Linked DNA regions of Saccharomyces cerevisiae S288C. The protein of the gene in region 1 binds, or shares a complex with, the protein of each later gene. Each region holds a gene or a part of one and is shown in the gene's direction. Other genes may lie near its edges.

Evidence for each region.
Region 2: MEC3 (region 1) and RAD17 share a complex: the UniProt entries of both Saccharomyces cerevisiae proteins name them as parts of the checkpoint clamp complex.
Region 3: MEC3 (region 1) and DDC1 share a complex: the UniProt entries of both Saccharomyces cerevisiae proteins name them as parts of the checkpoint clamp complex.

The regions. Positions count from the first base shown.
Region 1 is NC_001144.5:712,974-716,684, reverse strand, and holds MEC3 (Mec3p), read left to right. Parts: upstream 1-1,780; coding exon 1,781-3,205; downstream 3,206-3,711. Other genes in the region: GTPase GUF1, read right to left, coding at 1-1,596; 40S ribosomal protein eS30 RPS30A, read left to right, coding at 3,527-3,529. UniProt on the Saccharomyces cerevisiae protein: Component of the checkpoint clamp complex involved in the surveillance mechanism that allows the DNA repair pathways to act to restore the integrity of the DNA prior to DNA synthesis or separation of the replicated chromosomes.
Region 2 is NC_001147.6:1,024,926-1,028,567, forward strand, and holds RAD17 (Rad17p), read left to right. Parts: upstream 1-1,917; coding exon 1,918-3,123; downstream 3,124-3,642. Other genes in the region: YOR365C (putative flavin adenine dinucleotide transporter), read right to left, coding at 1-647; SCP1 (Scp1p), read left to right, coding at 1,082-1,684; 40S ribosomal protein eS12 RPS12, read right to left, coding at 3,269-3,642. UniProt on the Saccharomyces cerevisiae protein: Component of the checkpoint clamp complex involved in the surveillance mechanism that allows the DNA repair pathways to act to restore the integrity of the DNA prior to DNA synthesis or separation of the replicated chromosomes.
Region 3 is NC_001148.4:177,593-181,709, forward strand, and holds DDC1 (Ddc1p), read left to right. Parts: upstream 1-1,684; coding exon 1,685-3,523; downstream 3,524-4,117. Other genes in the region: APL5 (Apl5p), read left to right, coding at 1-1,429; RSA1 (Rsa1p), read left to right, coding at 3,811-4,117. UniProt on the Saccharomyces cerevisiae protein: Component of the checkpoint clamp complex involved in the surveillance mechanism that allows the DNA repair pathways to act to restore the integrity of the DNA prior to DNA synthesis or separation of the replicated chromosomes.

The DNA.
Region 1 (3,711 bases):
TACAACATCAGAAATTCTATAGCCAGCATCCTCATAATCTAAAGAGGCAAATCCTCTGGACACCGATTTTAATTTACCAAAAAAGTCATCAACTAGATGCGATAGCGGAAGGTAATATTTTAACATCACTTGTCCATTGGTGTTTAGGTATGTTATATCAATTTGTTCTCCTCTATTACTATCGCATAAGCGTATGACACTACCTAAATATTCCTGGGGCAATGTCATAACTGCCTCTATAAACGGTTCATGGAAAGCAGCAACGTTCACCCTCTTTGTTGCTCCGTCTGGAAACTCATCCGGATTTGTTATAAGCTTTTTCTTACCATCGGTAAACTCCACCAAATAAGGAACTGTGGGTTGAGTAATGATCAATTTCGAACCATACTCTTTTTCTAGTCGTTCACGAAAAACAGATGCATGTAAAGATCCTAAAAAGCCCAATCTCCAACCTTGACCCAAAGCATTGGAGGTCTCACGTTCCAAAGTAACTGACCTATCGTTGAGGACAAGTCTACTCATATCATCATCCATGGCTTTGAATTCAATCCCATCAGCCGGGAAAGCACCCACAAATACCATGGGTTTTTGTTCTTCAAATCCGGGAAGTACTTCCGTTTCATTTACTTTACTTAAATGCATTATAGTATCTCCAATTTTTGCTTCTTTAGAATCCTTCATTCCCAGCACTAGATAGCCAACCTGTCCTGTCTTTAGCGTACCTGTAGAGGTTCTGTCAGGATACATGATTCCAATATCTTTGACTTCGTATTTTTCTTTTGTCTGAGCACAAATAACCTTGTCATTTTTACGTACAGAACCATCAACAATATTCACTAGAAGAACCGCTCCTAAGTATGCGTCGTACCAAGAATCCACTAATAATGCTCTGAAGGGTTTATCAGGCCTCCCCGTTGGTGGTGGTATACGATCAATTATAGCCGGTAGTAACAGTTCCTCTACATTTAATCCTGTTTTAGCACTTACTCCGATTATATCTTCCTCGGGGAGCTCAAAGTTATTCACTATCTGATCCTTTACCTGTTTAACATCTGTAAAATTTAGATCAATTTTGTTTATTACTGGAATTAATTTCAATCCTAAACTGAAGGCTAAATAAAAATTAGCAACCGTCTGTGCTTGTATGCCTTGTGATGCATCAACCAAAAGAATTGCTCCCCCACAAGACGCATATGACCGTGAAACTTCACCTCTGAAGTCCACATGTCCTGGCGTGTCAATTAAATGTAAAAGATAGTTTTTTCCGGTCCTCTTATCTTTATAAAACATCGAACATGTTTGCGCCTTTATAGTAATACCTCTTTCTCTTTCGACTTCCAATTTATCCAAAACTTGTTTATTTCTCGCATTGGGATCGATGACATGCGTTATTTCCAGCAGTCTGTCACTTAAGGTTGACTTCCCATGGTCAACATGGGCAACTATAGAGAAATTTCTGTAATTTTCGAGAGGTATTTGCTCGATCTGTGCTTGTAACTTCTGTGCAGGGGTAGTCGTATGGTTATATCGTAAGAAATATGCGTGTCGTTTATAACACCGTATATGTCTCACTGGCCTAATTCTAAATTTCAGCATTTTTATGTGCAACTAGTTTCCCATATTCATGGCTCTTTTTCAATGGTTGCGGCTACAAATATAGGCGAGTTATACTTGCCCTCGTCTATTATTCAACTTTTTTATTTACATCAAAATAGCAACATAAACATACGGAGATGATGAGAGAAAAAAGAAGACAAAAGGTGTGTCTTAATTCAGTTAAATGAAATTAAAATTGATAGTAAATGGTTGTGAAGCACCTGATGATTATAAATTGCTAAGAACTACTATCAATACAGTTGCTTCGCTACGAAAGACGGCTATCTTAAGATTTAATAGTGAAAGATTGACAATAATATCCACTCCAAAATCATCACTCAACAGCAGTAACAACGGTACAATATTACGAGGGGATACTGGTCAGCTTTGGTGTACCATTCCTCATGATGTATTCAGATTATATACAGTTATATCAGCTCGCGAGCTCAATACAATAACAATGGAGTGTAATTGTGATTCTTTATTGAGTGTGTTTAAAAGGTATGATCGAGTAATGAACCAAGGATCTTCCTCTAATATGACTATAAAACTACAGTCAATGCCAGAATGGAATACAAATAACGGAACACTTTCAGGAGGAACAGCAGGAGGCGTAGATACAACCTCAAAACCGAACCCCATTTGTGCTCTAGGTATAACATTCGAAGAAATTGTACATACTAGCGGCCCAAATGACGCTATAGTTATGAATGGGGGAGTGGATGAGCACAATGGTTTACCAACCACAGTAGGCACAGGAAATCTACTCGCAAGCAATAAGGTTATCATGCATTCGTTCAAAGTACCTGTCAAACTATTATTCCGAGCACAAGATACGCGAATACAAGAGCCAATGATTAACTATATTCAACTGATGATGTACAAGCTGCCACCAATATCGGGCGAGTTTGGCTCCGCCTTCCACGGGTTTATTAGACGTGTTGAACGGTACAGTAATGTCAACCACATTCATTTAATGGGAGTCAAAAAAAAGGAGCATGGAAATGAAGGTGATGATGTAGAACTTAAGATAATTGTGAATGAATTAGATTGGCATTTGGAAATATGCTGGAATGGACCCTTAGACTCTGTGATACAACGCCAAGAAGGGCTCACTGACAATCCTTCCCAAAACCAGCACATCGACACAGACGGCCGGCAGGAGGAAGGATCTCTTCCGATTATCGAAGCGGATAAACCGATGTCTTCACTATATACCAATACTAGAGATCGAGAGATGGAAGAAAATATCCGCTACGATGAAGATTTATTAAGAATTGAGGATAGCTCGATCGCAGATACGCGGGGAAACATTTACACAGCTGATACTAGCGGTGATACTGAATTTAATGACATATCCGTTATGGTGGAAAAGGCTGAACAGGAAAGTTCGTCCACACATGAAGTAATCATCCGTTGCAAAGATTGGAAGGTGTGTTCCAAGTTATACGCTGCATTTGAAGAAGTTGTTTTGGCGATTTCTCACGACGAATCCTGCGTATTCCACTGTTCGTTGGATCGTGGTAGCTTGGAAGATAGCGAAGATGTGGAAAAACCAAGGGAAAGAGGACAAATCATATATTATATAGCAAGATCGAAGGGCTTGTAAACCCTACAGCGGTACATTTCTTTGCTACGTTGCTAAGGAAACTCTTTAAATCTGACATGGCTGAGAACTGCAGAGTTGCAGAGTTGCAGACTATCACATCCGTACATATGTATAAAAAAATCCGTGCTTTACATACTAACTGCTTTTCTTTTTTCCGTTCGAAAAAAAAAAATGTCGTGAGGTTGTCGGAAACCTCAGAAAAAATAGATAGAACAAAACAGCCTTACGAACGGTATGTTGCATTTTAAAGGCTACATGAACTGCACATTAAATTTGCCACTGTAATAATCTTCCATATCCCCATACAAAAACTACGCAAATATGGTACGTAATGCCTCATTAGGATTTTAAAATATGAAAAAAATGGACGTTTCAGCGAGGAATGAATAACAAGAAATAGCTAATTTGAATATATTACTGGTGTTTCATATCTATATATACCGCAGAAAAAGAAATAAAACGCAATATATCTTTAAACTGGCTCCACCCTGAGAATATGATAGGAA
Region 2 (3,642 bases), on another chromosome or scaffold:
ATTCCGGAAATTGTCAATATCACTAGATTCCACGATAAATACTCTGTTTGGACTGTTCTACCATTTGATAACATCACTTGTACACATGCTAGAGGTTTGGTAAATTCTTTATCAATAGTGGAGTATGCTGTCACCACAATATATGCGTCTAAGTCAGGTATATTATATGTTATGCTTGGTATTTGGCTAGCTACCGCGGCCTCAACATAATAACTTCCCATGAGTTCTATATTTCCCGGCTTCAACGGACATAATAAATTATCTTGGATTCCACATAGATCAAAAACTTTGGTATAAACATTGAGACCATATGCAATCAATTCTGCCTTGATGGTTATGTTTTCGCTCATAATTGTTTGTGCTTCAACATTAAAGAATAGAGTATTATTTCTCGGGAAAAAAGCAGCTTCGAAATACGATGCAGAAAACTGTGAGTCTTTAGCACAAGTCAACAGAGCCGAAGTCCTTAGATATTCTTTAGTATATGCATCAAATGGTACTGGGAATAGAGTCGATGCGTTGTTCAGTAGTGTAAAAGAGTTAGAAACCTGGAAAGTAGAGCTGTTAATGGAAATAGCGTGTATTTGTCGGAAGATTGCTAGCAAAACAAAAATCCGAGATAAAGAGAAGACTTTAATGGGAAGCATACTTATTCTCTTTACATCTATAAATCAGAGAGGTTAAATATTATTTAAAATAGCATTACGACTTTGCTTCATCATCCTTCCAAAATATTGACACTGCATCATTTTTTAAATGTGTCAGTAATTCGGGCACAAAAATATAAATGGACCGCCATGAACTAAAGCTGTCGTCGATATGGATCGCTCCATAGCAGCATTATAAAAATTAAAAATGCATCAATACCATGCTACAGTAATAACAAAATACAGCATGGATTACCACTACATATTCATCATGTCATGCATTATAGTTGTAACATATGCTGAACACCCATTCATCACGTGTAATTGGACATCCGTGGAGTTCCAAAAGGAGTATAAACGCAAATAGTAAAGCTAAGATATAAGTAGTGTCTAAGTAAATGACTTCTTTGTAAGCGTACAGCTAAAGTTTACCGATGAGTTACGATAAGAAGGCAGATGTCACATCCTTAGATGAAGATTTGAGACAACTAAGAGAAAGCAAATTTTCACCGGAAGCAATTCAAAATATCAAAATATGGGTATATAAATCTGTCCTAAAAGAGATAGCTCCTCCTGGAGACTTATTGGAATGCTTGAAAGATGGAACAGTCCTATGTAAGCTGGCAAATATTTTATATGAAGCAGACACAGGAGAAGCTAACCATATTAGTTGGAAGAGCTCTAAAATGCCATTTGTTCAAATGGATCAAATTTCCCAATTTTTATCATTTTCGAGAAAATATGGTGTGCCTGAAGATGAACTGTTTCAGACAATTGATCTTTTTGAGAAAAAGGATCCTGCCATTGTTTTCCAAACGTTGAAGTCACTATCTCGTTACGCCAACAAAAAACATACAGATAGATTTCCAGTTCTAGGACCACAACTGTCAACAAAGAAGCCAAGACCCCCGGTTAAGTCTAAACCAAAACATCTACAAGATGGTACTGGATGGAGCACTTTTGAATACGGTTATATGAAAGGTGCATCTCAGGCTACTGAAGGAGTGGTGTTAGGACAACGGAGAGATATAGTTTAGAGAATTATTATTAACACTTTCTCTGGCAGAAATTGATAAATAAACATTTAAGAACCCTATATACGCAACCAAAGTTCCTTTGATATATTTTAGTTTTCCATCAAAGTTTTCCTACATAAACACTAAGGTGGCTAGAGACGCGTAACAAAAGTTAACGTTACCGGTAAAAATGTGATTATACAAATCAATCTCACAGAACGGTGTGGAAACAAAGTAGTTGAAGGATTTCAACTATGCGAATCAACAGTGAGCTAGCGAACAAGTTTTCTGCCTCAACGGTGCACTTAGAACATATCACAACTGCTTTAAGTTGTTTAACACCTTTTGGTTCTAAAGACGATGTGCTTATATTCATTGATGCTGATGGGCTGTCATTTGTCAGGGAGAATAATCATGTGATAAAAATCCAACTACTGTTATCTCGGGAGCTATTTATGTCTTATTCGTATAGAAATGAAACTGAGGATCACATGAAACTTTGTGTAAAAATAAATCATATCTTAGATAGCGTTAGCGTGATGAACAGGAATTCGGATGACATTGTTGAGTGTACTTTATCTTATGATGGACATGGATCACCATTTGTACTAATATTTGAAGACTCGTTCATTTCTGAGAGAGTGGAGTACTCTACCTACTTAATTAAGGATTTTGATACTAATGGACTAGAACTCGATAGAGAAAGGATAAGCTTTGAGGCAATTATTAAGGGCGAAGCCCTTCATTCAGCCTTAAAGGATCTAAAAGAAATCGGATGCAAAGAGTGCTATGTATATGCAAAGACCGAGGCGAATGATGAGAATGTATTTGCCCTGATATCTAAATCTCAGCTAGGATTTTCTAAAATAAAATTACCCAGTAACAGATCCATACTAGAGAAGTTACAAGTATTTGACGGAGATTCCACAACAGTAATAGATGGTTTTGCTGTAATTGGGTTCTTCGATTTCACCTCGTTTGATAAAATCAGAAAGAGTACTAAAATTGCAAGCAAAGTCCTTTTCAGGATGGATGTTCATGGCGTATTGAGTGTAAATATTCTAAGTCAAACAGACGATGTCATTATCACTGATACTACAAGACCTTCAAATAATCGACCAGGTAGTATTCGCCAACTGCAGCTACCCAAGGATTATCCCGGTATAGTAATTGAGGTTTGCATGCTAGAAAAAGAATCCATAGATGAGGCAGCACAGACAGAAATAGAACTCCTGATGGAGACTAATGAACTTGGCAATCGTAATAGTTTTAAAAAATCAACTATAAGAAAAAGATATGGTACAGATAAAGGCAATGAAACTTCAAATGACAACTTGCTGCAATTGAATGGGAAAAAAATTAAACTACCATCTGAAGAAGAAAACAATAAAAACAGGGAAAGTGAGGATGAAGAGAATCACTGCAAGTATCCAACAAAGGATATTCCTATATTTTTTTAAGTCAATATCCAGCATCGCAGAAAACGCAGAACTTCATTCAGCATTTGGTAATTTTATAACATATAACTTACAATTAAATAAAAGTTTAACTATATATTATTATGTGATCTAACTCTAGAAAAAGTACTAATGAACATCACACCGTTTATTGTTGGGAGAAGTGTTCCATGATCATGGACAATTCATCAGTTTCAGCACCCCAGTTCTTGACAACAACAACGGAGGCACCGACAACCTTTCTGGCGTTACCTTCACGGTCGATCTTACCCAAACCAGCCCATTCACCTAATTGCTTAGCATCAGCAACCTTGATCAATGGAACCTTGTTTTCTGGGTCGTTAGCCAAACCTTCAACCAACTTGATAATGTTAGCTTCAGTAACAGAGCTGACCAAAACAACCAATAAAGCTTCACCTCTGGTTAAAGCCTTGGTAGATTCTCTCAAACCTCTAGCTAGACCATCGTGAACCAAAGCGGTTCTCAAAACAACCTTCAAAGCATCTTCGATAGTAACTTCGG
Region 3 (4,117 bases), on another chromosome or scaffold:
GGCGATGCTCTGTCAAGACATATCTGATAAAAGCCTTGGATCAAAAATTGGTGAACAGTTTAGGAATTTGATGATAAAAGTTCCTTCAATGAGAGAAGTAACCATTGCTAATATTATAAAGCTTATTTCAAATGACAATATTAACAAACAGTTGCCTACCGTATTGAGAGAATGCATTTGGTGTCTCGGAGAATTTTCTACCCTAGTTGAAAATGGTAACGACTTAATAAAAATCATGACTGAGAATATCAGTTATTATTCTCATAGTGTACAAGAAGTTTTAATTTTAGCACTTGTTAAAGTATTTAGTAATTGGTGTAATAACTTTCAGGAGGATAAACGCTTTGAAATTAAAATGGTGTTAAAAGAGCTAATTGAATTTTTTGAAAATTTATCTTATTCGAGTACATTCGAAGTCCAGGAAAGAAGCGTAGAAGTTTTAGAATTTTTAAGACTAAGTTTGGAGGCTTTAGAGGAGGATACGGAAGGTCTACCAATGCTACTGAGCGAAGTCCTGCCTAGTTTTTTTAACGCCTATGAACTCGCACCAATTGCGCGTGGGACTCAATTGAAGTTAGCAGTAGATGAGAATCTTGATCTAGAAACTCCATTTTTGACAAAGGAGGCAGCTGATGAACTCTTAGATGAACAAAAAAGTGACGCCATCAGTGATTTAATGTCTGATATCTCAATGGACGAGCAAGTTGAACTAAAATTCGTTGATGATTCTGATACTTCGTATGAAGAAAAGGAAAAATTGGATGATTTTGAAAATCCATTTGAGATTGAGAGAGAAAAGGAACGGATGTCAAATCCTTATTATCTAGGTGAAGAAGACGAAGAAAGAACTAAGAACTCTAAAGATTTGTTGGACTTGAATGAGGAGGAAAGTAGTGATAAAAAGCCAGAAACTATTAGATTAAATAGAACCGATAATTCGTTGAATTCTCTAAGTTTATCTACAACTGAAATCAGCAGAAAGAAGAAGAAGGGAAAGAAGAAAAATAGGGTTCAAGTCTTATCCGATGAACCTGTTATCGAAGCCGCTCCCAAAAGGAAAGATGCATTCCAGAAACCCCATGATAATCATTCAACTCAAAATCCTTTGAAAAAGGACAAGATTAATCTGAGAATGCACTCTCAACTTGAAAATTTTGATTTTTCCAATTTTGGGCAATCGAGTAACGCAGGAAGAGGATCGCAGGAAGAGGGCAACCTTAGAAAGGAAGACGAGTTAGAATTAAGTCGTTTAGAGGCCAATCTTATTGTAAAAGATGAAAAGGATAATTTAAGTGATACTGAAGAAGTTATAGTTATAAAAAAGAAGAAGAAAGGGAAAAAGTCAAAGTCAAAAAACAAACTAAAAACGAAAGCAAAAAATTCTCCAGAACCAAATGAATTTCTTCGAGACCAAAGCACTGACATTTAACGATAAAAAAATCGAAGTCGTGAATTCTCAATGACAGCGATTACGTACGTAAACTATAATTAATTTAAGTATTTTATTCTGCATAGTATATTATTGCGGTGCACTCAATTTGCCGAAAGAGACGGCATATTTAATAATGACGCGAATGAATCAAAGGCCGCCAAAGGTAATCATAGACCAGAGATGATTTGCAAAATTATTTGACATACTATTGCTAGTGTAACAATAACACAGCATAACTTTGCTTAGACATATATGTCATTTAAGGCAACTATCACCGAGTCGGGGAAGCAGAATATCTGGTTTCGTGCGATATATGTGTTATCTACAATTCAGGATGATATCAAGATTACAGTGACAACAAATGAGTTAATTGCTTGGTCAATGAACGAGACAGATACTACTCTTTGTCAGGTTAGGTTTCAGAAAAGCTTTTTTGAGGAGTATGAGTTTAAACCACATGAGATTGTATTTGGAGAAAATGGGGTTCAAGTTATAGAAGATACGTACGGCAATAGTCATAAGTTATACTCCTTCCGTGTTAATGGAAGACACCTAACAACTATATCAAGAAAGCCGGATGGTGATGGCATCAAATCATTCACAATTGCGGTAAACAACACTTCTACCTGTCCTGAATCACTTGCAAATAGATTGATTGTGGTGATTGAAATGGATTCGTTAATAGTCAAAGAATACTGTCCCCAATTCCAGCCAATAAAATACGATCCCATAATAATCAACCTTAAGTACAAAAGGAGGTTTTTGGATGTTTTTGGAACTGCTGCCTCCGATCGGAATCCACAGGAGCCCTTGGACCCTAAGCTATTGGACGTTTTTACAAATACAGAGCGTGAGCTAACATCAGCCTTATTTAACGAAGAAGTGGAATCAGACATACGTAAAAGGAATCAGTTAACGGCTGCTGATGAGATTAATTACATTTGTTGTAATTCAACTTTATTGAAGAATTTTTTAGACAACTGCAATGTTAATGTAACCGATGAAGTAAAATTGGAAATTAACGTACATAGGCTAAGCATAACTGCATTCACCAAGGCCGTCTACGGCAAAAATAACGACCTTTTAAGAAATGCGTTAAGCATGAGTAACACTATCAGTACGCTCGATCTTGAGCATTATTGCTTATTTACAACAATCGAAGATGAAAAACAAGATAAGCGATCACATAGTAAGCGTAGAGAGCATATGAAAAGTATAATATTCAAATTGAAGGACTTCAAAAACTTCATAACGATAGGTCCATCCTGGAAGACTACCCAGGACGGAAATGATAATATAAGTTTATGGTTTTGCCACCCAGGGGACCCTATTCTTATGCAAATGCAAAAACCGGGCGTAAAATTAGAATTGGTTGAAGTTACTGACAGTAACATTAACGATGATATTTTAGAAGGAAAATTCATAAAAACAGCAATCTCTGGCTCCAAAGAAGAGGCCGGACTGAAAGACAACAAAGAAAGCTGCGAAAGTCCATTAAAAAGCAAAACTGCTTTAAAGAGAGAAAACCTGCCACACTCTGTGGCTGGAACTCGAAACAGTCCTTTGAAAGTGTCGTATCTGACCCCTGATAATGGAAGCACAGTTGCTAAGACCTATAGAAATAACACGGCAAGAAAATTATTCGTGGAAGAACAAAGCCAAAGTACGAATTACGAACAAGATAAGCGGTTCCGGCAGGCTAGTTCAGTTCATATGAACATGAATCGGGAACAAAGTTTTGACATTGGTACGACTCATGAAGTGGCCTGTCCACGTAATGAGAGCAATTCTTTAAAAAGATCCATAGCAGATATTTGTAATGAAACTGAAGACCCCACCCAACAATCTACATTTGCAAAAAGGGCAGACACCACTGTGACATGGGGAAAAGCGTTACCAGCTGCAGATGATGAGGTTTCATGCAGCAATATCGATAGAAAAGGAATGCTCAAGAAAGAAAAATTGAAGCATATGCAAGGTCTGTTGAATTCCCAGAATGACACAAGTAATCACAAGAAACAGGACAATAAAGAGATGGAAGATGGGCTGGGTCTAACACAAGTAGAAAAGCCAAGGGGTATATTTGACTAAAACCATAATGCAAAATCAGTATAAAGGCGTGTAAATATTAGATGAAGTAGCAATTATCATGATAATATCGATCGCTGTTTTTTTTTTTTTTTCTGTCTCAATTTGGTGAGCGTGCGGCTGATGGTCCATCACGGTCGGGGAACAAACTAAAATTTTCAATAGCATAATATCTCTATATTGCATAGCTTTTTACTTAATAGGAACTTAAAAATTTCATTGATGCTATTATATTTAACTCATAAGTCAATCTCTTTTTCCATTTTGATTAGCTTATTGCGACATGGACTATGAATTATAATAACTTTGAAAATTCGAAGGGTGATGGACATTCTAGGCTTCCCAAACCTACATACTCCGGAACGCTATCAGATGGCTATGATGAATCGAAAATTAAAAGGCAAAAAACAGACTCTGCTTTTAATGCAGCTTACTCACCTCATATGTATCCGAACTCTCCGTATTATGAAGGTTCATGGAATACCGGTTATACTCCTCAACTTCATCATGTAGCCCCTCATAATCAATATTTCCATCCAATACAACCGTCCACTCAGTACAATTATACGAGTCCTCCCAATTATACAGAAAATTACA